Mus musculus: one gene and its partner. The main gene of each other region encodes a partner of the protein of the gene in region 2 in a complex. Links are inferred from orthologs where the notes say so. Each region holds a gene or a part of one and is shown on either strand. Other genes may lie near its edges. The genes, in order: Polr2c and Gtf2h4.

What was found.
Region 1: Gtf2h4 (region 2) and Polr2c share a complex: the UniProt entries of both Homo sapiens proteins name them as parts of the TBP-based Pol II pre-initiation complex. The link is inferred for Mus musculus from reciprocal best matches to the Homo sapiens genes GTF2H4 and POLR2C.

The regions. Positions count from the first base shown.
Region 1 is NC_000074.6:94,856,265-94,860,174, reverse strand, and holds the start of Polr2c (DNA-directed RNA polymerase II subunit RPB3), read right to left. Parts: upstream 2,726-3,910; 5' UTR 2,620-2,725; coding exon 2,534-2,619; intron 2,429-2,533; coding exon 2,379-2,428; intron 1-2,378. UniProt on the Homo sapiens protein: Core component of RNA polymerase II (Pol II), a DNA-dependent RNA polymerase which synthesizes mRNA precursors and many functional non-coding RNAs using the four ribonucleoside triphosphates as substrates.
Region 2 is NC_000083.6:35,670,893-35,674,802, reverse strand, and holds the start of Gtf2h4 (general transcription factor IIH subunit 4), read left to right. Parts: upstream 1-1,059; 5' UTR 1,060-1,247; exon of another isoform or gene 1,248-1,288; intron 1,289-1,974; 5' UTR 1,975-1,977; coding exon 1,978-2,117; intron 2,118-2,705; coding exon 2,706-2,810; intron 2,811-3,445; coding exon 3,446-3,577; intron 3,578-3,840; coding exon 3,841-3,910. UniProt on the Homo sapiens protein: Component of the general transcription and DNA repair factor IIH (TFIIH) core complex, which is involved in general and transcription-coupled nucleotide excision repair (NER) of damaged DNA and, when complexed to CAK, in RNA transcription by RNA polymerase II.

The DNA of each region.
Region 1 (3,910 bases), on a different chromosome or scaffold from region 2:
GCACTGTCTCCACTCTGCCCGGCGCTCAGGGAGCAGAGCCAGCGCCTGGTCTACAAAGTGAGTTCCAGGACAGCCAGGGCTACACAGAGAAACATTGTCTCAAAAAACAAAACAAACAAACAAAACCCAACCAAACAAAAACAAAAATTAAAAAAAAAAAAAAAAAAAAAAAAGCAAGCAAGCAAGCAAGCAAGCATCAATTCAGCTTACAAAGTTGAAGGTGTCCTGACCAGGCTGCAAGAGGCTCAAAGTGACTTCAAAGTGATGGCTCCAGGTTCAGGCATCCCACACGCCATACATAACACCTTCCTGCCCCAGTGGGGGATGGGCCTTGCTAGTGATACACCACACATGCATGCACATACTCTCTCTTAGAGCTTTTTGGGATATTTAAGGAGTTGAATACTTATCTAAGGATTACTTTAAATCTGCTACCTGTGCCAATCCCAAACCCAAGAACGAAAGCTATCTGGACACCATGGGCTGGAGGGATGGCTCCGCAGTTCTGAGGTTCCTGGCACCCATGTCAGGCAGCTCACAACCCCTGTAACTCCAACTCCAGGGGCATCTGAGACCCCTGGCCACCTCCAGCCCCTGCATTCACTGGTAAACACCCACACACAGAGACACAATTTTAAAAACTTAAAAGTCAGGGAAAACATCACAACAGCAAAACATCCCAAGTTTCAGGGCCCACACCTCGTTTGTGATATAACCAGATAGCCCACTTGGAATTTCAGTGTTCCTCTCATCAGTAGATGTTCACTGGACAGCTTCACCAGGGAAAGCCCACTAACAATAGAACCCAATCCCCCCCCAGGCACTGCTGGGCAAATGGGGCTGTAGCATACAGATGCTGCACTTAAGCATGTGTCTAGTCACCCATCAGCAAACACCTGCATGTAAACAATAATGTTCAGAAATCAGTGGTGTTGGAAACCCAGTTCTCAAGGAGCTGATGTAGGCCAGGAAGAGGCCGGAAGACCAGCTGAGGATAGGCCCAACCTGCCCTTCACCGCAGTGCTTCCTCAACTCAAGCAAGGACCAAGCTTCCTGATGATTTACTTCTGGGGCCCATTGAATGCCCTTAATCTACTTCCACCATTCCCATTCCCCGACCCCTGGTGGGAATTCCCCATCTCAGAAAACCTCGAGTGTCCATGTTTACAAACGCTCCACTCCCTTTTGGCCTCCTTCCTCTCTCAAAACAAACAAACAAACAAACGATAAAACTGGTCAGATTCTCCTGAAGGTGTCATATTTTGCCTTGTTATGTTTGCTCATGTCTTGTCTCTAACTGAAAACGTACATGATTTACATATGCAGCAGAAATAAGAAATTCATTTTTAAAAAGACACCAGGATGGATTTAAAAAAACAAAAAACCGAAGTCTGTCTGTCTGTCTGTCTCTCTCTCACACACACACACACACACACACACACACTTCAACAATAAGGAACAAAAGTATGTTGTTTGTTAAAGAAAATCTTAAGCCGGGCAGTGGTGGTGCACGCCTTTAATCCCAGCTCTTGGGAGGCAGAGGCAGAGGCAGGCAGATTTCTGAGTTCCAGGCCAGCCTGGTCTACAAAGTGAGTTCCAGGACAGCCAGGGCTACACAGAGAAACCCTGTCTTGAAAAACAAACAAACAAACAAAATTAGAAAATCTTTATAACACATGCTTTCTCTCATGTGGAATCTCTCTCTTTTTCTCTTTCTCTCTTTAATAAAGAGAAAGTTCGGAGCCTGCAAGATGTGCAAGATACTTTTTGTTGTCAAGCCTTAAGGAGTTCAATCCTGGGCCCCATATGGTGGGAGAAGAGAATCCCTCCTACAAGCTGTACTCTGACCTCTACACATGAACTCCGGTACTCGAGCCCAGAGATAGACACATATATGTAAATAAAGGTTTTCAAAAAGATAGGGGGAGACGACAAGAAAGTATAGCAGGGTACTATCTGGAAGGATGGGAGAGACCAGGTACACTCTGTGTGTGTAGATTTCAAACTACATAACGAAGCCCATGATTTTGTAAAATCAGCATATATGTTCAAAAGACACCAGCCAGTAGCGAACACTGACGTCAAAGCAAAAGCGCATCATCTACACTACTTCGGCAATCGCTGCATCACCTGCTAACGACGCCTAGCATCTACACCGCCCGGATGAGGAGGCTGCAGCCCTCCGCTGTTTAACAGTGCTTGGTTTTGATTTCTGTTGCTTTGGGGTAGACGAACAGTACTGGGAAACCCGCAGCTGAGCAAGGCACGCACCAAGGCGGGCCTAGGCTGCCCCAGCCCAGCGTACAGCACCGCAGTGTTCTCAGCCCCCACCCCGGGCGGAGGGTGGGCGGCACGGGCTCCCAGGGACGGTCGCTTACCTATTATGGGCACCTCTGCGATGAAGACCCTCCGAATGGAATTGGCCACCCTACAGGAGGAAAGACAGGCGGTGTGAGCGGCCCCGAAGCCACAGCCCCGGGGTCAGGAGCTCGAGGACCCGGCCGCCCGCCCGCCTCTCCCCTCGCCGCCTTACGCCAGGTCCGTGTTCTCGATAATGAACTTGACGTTCTCTTCGGTGAGTTCCGTGATCCGCACTGTTGGCTGGTTGGCGTACGGCATCGCGACCCTCCGCCAGGCTCCCGCGCCAGCCGCACAGCGCGCCTGCGCGGCCACCAGCAGTTTGTCGGCGGGGCAATCGGCGCTTCCGGCTAGTCGCGGGCGCAGCGCCACCTGCTGACCGGAGGCCGGAACTCTCCTGGCCTGTGTTTTCTAACCACACCGGCGCCAAAATGCATTGGTCCTATACTCTTGAAATCCCCAAGATATACAGCACAAAAATTAAATGTACAGGGTCATTCATGCCAACGTTATTTATAACTGCTAAAAATAACGCATTAGGCAATGATCGATAGAGACTTGGTTAAACTTACATACGGGGCTGGAGATACGGCATTGGGGATAAGAGCACTGGCTGTTCTTATGTAAGACTTGGATTGTATTCCCAGCACCCATATGATGCCTAACATCTTTAGCTTCAGTTTCTGAGGAAACTCTCTCCTGGTATCTGAGGGCACCAGGTATTCACATGGTGCACAAATATACATGCAAGCAAAACATCCTTATACATAAAAATAATTTTTAAAATACATAGGAATACAATGAAACCTTAAAAAAAACCATTAAAAAGTTGTACATCTATACATGAACAAAATGGCTAGGGAGGTGACTCAAGCATGCAAGACGACTGATAGGTTATTTCTCTGCTGGTAAAATGAGCCAATTCAAGACAGATTAGAATATATTAAAAGGCAGGTTTATTGGGAAGCTGCTCTCAGGTGAGTTCACTGGCCTTAAGAACAGAGGCCGGGGAACCGCCATGGGAAGGGCAGAGAGGGAGAAGAGAAAGGGCCTGGGGCAGGGGGAGGGAGATAGATCGATCCAGAGAGCAAGAGCAAAATGTCTGGATTCTATAGGGAAGAACCTCTTGGGGAAGGGCAGCCCAGCCTCTGGGCTGGAAAGTTCAGGGTGGAGGCAGAGCATGCCAGGTGGGGACTGAAGGATGCTGGGAGAACCTGGAGGCCAGGTCTGCTTTGACGGGTAAAATATGCACCTCAGTCACTTGTTCCAGGGTGCGAAGCCAAACCCTGATGTGCAAGGACACAAGGTCAAATTCTCAGAACACCTGTAAAGAGGCATGGTAATGCAAGAGTCTAATCTTAGGCTCCTGTGAGTAGGAAGATGGAGAGAAGAATCCCCTGGATGCTCTCAGGACAGTTAGATAACACACAAAGAAGCAAACAAGAGACCCACATCCGAGCTAATGTCAGAGAGAGTACTGTAATGCATACACAAGAAAAACAAAACCCATGTTTTTTTGTTTGTTTGTTTTTGTTTTTGTTTTTCAAGACAG
Region 2 (3,910 bases):
CCTGCCTCTGCCTCCCAAGTGCTGGGATTAAAGGCGTGCGCCACCACACCCGGCTCAGATCTCTTATTCTTGTTGAGCTTGATAGCCTGTGATGTAAGAATAACAGAATTTGCCCCCATAAGAATTGGAGACCCTACAGATGACCTTAGTTGATGTCATTTTCCCTTTCCCTTGTCTTGCCTAGGATAAATTCATAAATCAAATCAGGGCAAATGATAGCTTTCTCTTAAAAATTGCAATGTAATCTTCTAACTCCCCAGGGAGTTGGAAGAGATTAAGATTGAGTGAGCAGGTGGGAGGATGGTGGAGAGATGGCTGTCCTTCCAAAGGGCCCAAGTTCAATTCCTAGCACTAACATAACAGCTCACTGCTGTATGTAATTCCAGTTCCAGGGAATCTGACTTCACATAGACATTTTGATTGATTGAGCTCCAAATGAGGGCAATTGTGTTGATCCACGTCATGTGAAGATGTTCTGCACTGATCATTATCTCAGTTTCGTGAGGAACAACAGAGGTCAAGAAACCCAGTTTGTCGCCGGGTGTGGTGGCGCACGCCTTTAATCCCAGCACTCGGGAGGCAGAGGCAGGCGGAGTTCTGAGTTCGAGGCTAGCCTGGTCTACAAAGTGAGTTCCAGGACAGCCAGAGCTATACAGAGAAACCCTGTCTCGAAAAACCTAAAAAAAAAATAAGAAGAAGGAAGAAAGAAAGAAAGAAAGAAAGAAAGAAAGAAAGAAACCCAGTTTGAGGTCTCTACATCTAACATAACACCACTAAGCTGCTTTAGTACGTCTCCGATAGGAGGCCCCGGAGCTCCTCCAGGTTTGCTGCCTCCTCCTGATCTGACAAGAGATTCACCTTGCTGTATAGGGGAGAGAGGCGCGGAATCAAAAGGTCTGACTTCGGATGTTTCTAGGGAATCCCAATGAAAAGCCACCTTTTCTCGGCCGGCCTTCTTGCGGTGCCTTTAGGGATTTGTAGTCAGAGCCTGACTCATAGTCTCCAATGTAGGCTAGAAGAGGACTACAATTCCCAAGATGCCTTGCGACAGGCGAGTGCATTGCCTATTCTAACCCCCTTTACTCTTGACACATTTCTCTGCTCTCCCTTCTCTTTGGACTGCTTATTGACTGGGTCCTGTCTGTGAAGTTCTTCGTGGTTCTCCCACCTTTTAGAATTCTCATCCTTTATTTCCAGGAGCCAATGCGAGACATTAGCACTGATTAGGCGACGGCTGGTGACCCGGGGTGCGCGAGGGGGAGCCGAGTGGTGAGGGGGTTTGAGAAGGGTAAGGGAGAGAGTTGAGCGAGAAGCGGAGTGAAAGGAAAGTCGGGGAGATGTGAGGAGCTCAGAGGCGTGGGTCTCAGTGAGAGGGGTAAGGCTGGCTGGAGGGAAAGGGATAGAAAGGGATTTAGGTTGGTAAGCATGAGGCAGTTTATAGCCGTGTCCCCAGATGAGAGCTAAGGATTTGACCCATTTGGACTGATCTGACCAGGAGGGTGGACAAGAGAGAGAAGCCTGGGCTCAAATAAGTATCTTTGTCAATGCTTAGGTGAACTTGAGATGTCATTGATATGCAAAACACTCGCAAGTATGAAACGATAAGTAATTCAGTCCACACCGGTGAGGATCTGGATTTGATCCTCAGGACCATACACAAAAATGAGACTAATTCCACCTCCTGGAGACTGAACAAAGGCTGAACTTCAAGGGCAGATATGGGATGAAAAGCCTGGTGGCCACTTGGGAAGTAAAGGCAGATGGATCAGGGGTTCAAATCCATCCTTGGCTCCATAGCAAATTCAAGGCCATTGTGAGCTGCATAATGAAGAAAAGAAGCAGGACACGAGGGGTTTGGGAGGAATAGGTGATAAGTGGCATCAGACAGGAAAGTACAGAAAGTGAACCTAATAGATCTGGAGTCAGTGATATAGGCCTGGGTCATGTGGGAGTTCTGACATTTGTCCCTCTCAGGTGATGGAGATCACCCCGGCGAGGGGTGGACTGAACCGAGCACACCTACAATGCAGGAATCTCCAGGAGTTCTTAGGAGGCCTGAGCCCTGGGGTGCTGGACCGATTGTATGGGCACCCTGCCACTTGTCTGGCTGTCTTCAGGTGAGGAGCCTTCAGAGCAAAGGGGATGTTTGGAGAATGTAATGGGGCCTGCAGACTGAAATTAGTTAGCACGGGGAGAGGCTTATTAGCCCAGCGTGAGTACCAGGGTGTTAGACATTACTCCAAAGTGTGTCAGTCCAAACCAGAAAGAGGTTGTGGGGACAGTGGGACTGCTAAGGACGTGGGAGATGGCATGAGACGTTTGAGAGACAGAGGTTGCAGGGTATTTGATCACATAGTGAACTCCAAGATTATGAACCAGAAAAACCTTGTTATTGTGGCTCAGCCCTAAGCACACACCTTTTTTTTAGCCAAGGGCTAATGTCAACCGTAGGTCAAGAGATGGAGCAACCAAGTAAACAGAAATTAGCAACGTTGAGTTGAAGGGAATTTAAGACAGTGTGGAGAATTCTCGGAGAGGGAGCTTTTTCTTTCTGGGATGTCATTGGAGAAAAAAAGGTCAGCTGGGTGCTTTCTCTGCCTCTCTGAGCAGTTGGGATGTTTGTTTTTTTTAAACCACAGGCAGATGAGGGCAGAGATGCAGGTGTGAGGTGGCTTCTGATAACATTTGGCCTCTGAACCTTACAGGGAGCTCCCCTCTTTGGCTAAGAACTGGGTCATGAGGATGCTCTTTCTGGAGCAGCCGCTACCACAGGCTGCGGTGGCCCTGTGGGTGAAGAAGGAGTTCAGCAAGTGAGTCCCGGGCGGGCGCAGCTGCTTCGAGCTTCCCAACAGCCACATTTCTCAAAGGACTTTTGTTTGGAACACTTGCAGGGTGCACACACAGAGGAGCTAGGGGAATCAGATGTGGGCCTTTCAACAGAGCCTGCCCTACACAAGGAAAACCCTCCAGAATACACCTGCAGAGGTTTCCACTGTGGAGAGTTGTGTCTCTTTAGCTGTATGCTAACTAGAACAAAACAAACAAACAAACAAAAAGACAAAGGGGAAAAAGCCGCCCCCGCACTCCCCCAACCCCAAGTTGATAGGTAGAGATAGGGAACCAGAGATTCAAGGATTATATCGTAAGTTTGATGTATTGTAAGTTTGAGGCTGTCCCAGGCTTCATAGGACCCTTCCTGAAACAAAACAAATGAAAAGGAAAAAAAAAAAAAAAAGAATTGACTTAGAAAACAAAACAGAGAAACCAACAACAATCAAAACGAACTAGGTTCTCCTTAGCATTGCAGTGCAGGTATCTGAGGTGAGAAACACAGCTTCGCCCTGCGACACTGTTCCAAGGGCCTCCCGTTCAGAGGAGATAGATGAAGCTCCCTGGAGGTCTCCTTGCTATTGGTGATACCCCACTCAACTCTGCTTCTGTCCAGGGCTCAGGAGGAAAGTACGGGGCTGCTGAGTGGCCTCCGTATCTGGCATACCCAGCTGCTCCCTGGTGGACTCCAAGGCCTCATCTTGAACCCCGTCTTCCGCCAGAACCTCCGAATTGCCCTTCTGGGTGGGTACGTCATTTCCCTCCCTTCCTGAGCTAGGCAAGGGGAACTGCTTATTACACTGGTGGGGGAGAATCTCCTGAGAGGCCTCCCCAGAGCCTCTCCCCATCCCCACCCCCACCCCTTGGAATGCTCCTTCAAGAATACATTGGACCAGGTGTGGATGTAGGGTGCAGAAAATGTCCTTTTCTTGTAGCCCTTGGGATGAGGGTAAAGACCTAGGGATGCAGGAAGCAGACAGGGTTCCTTACTCCTGTGTATCCTGGCCACAGGGGCAAGGCCTGGTCTGATGACACAAGTCAGCTGGGACCAGACAAGCATGCCCGGGACGTCCCCTCACTG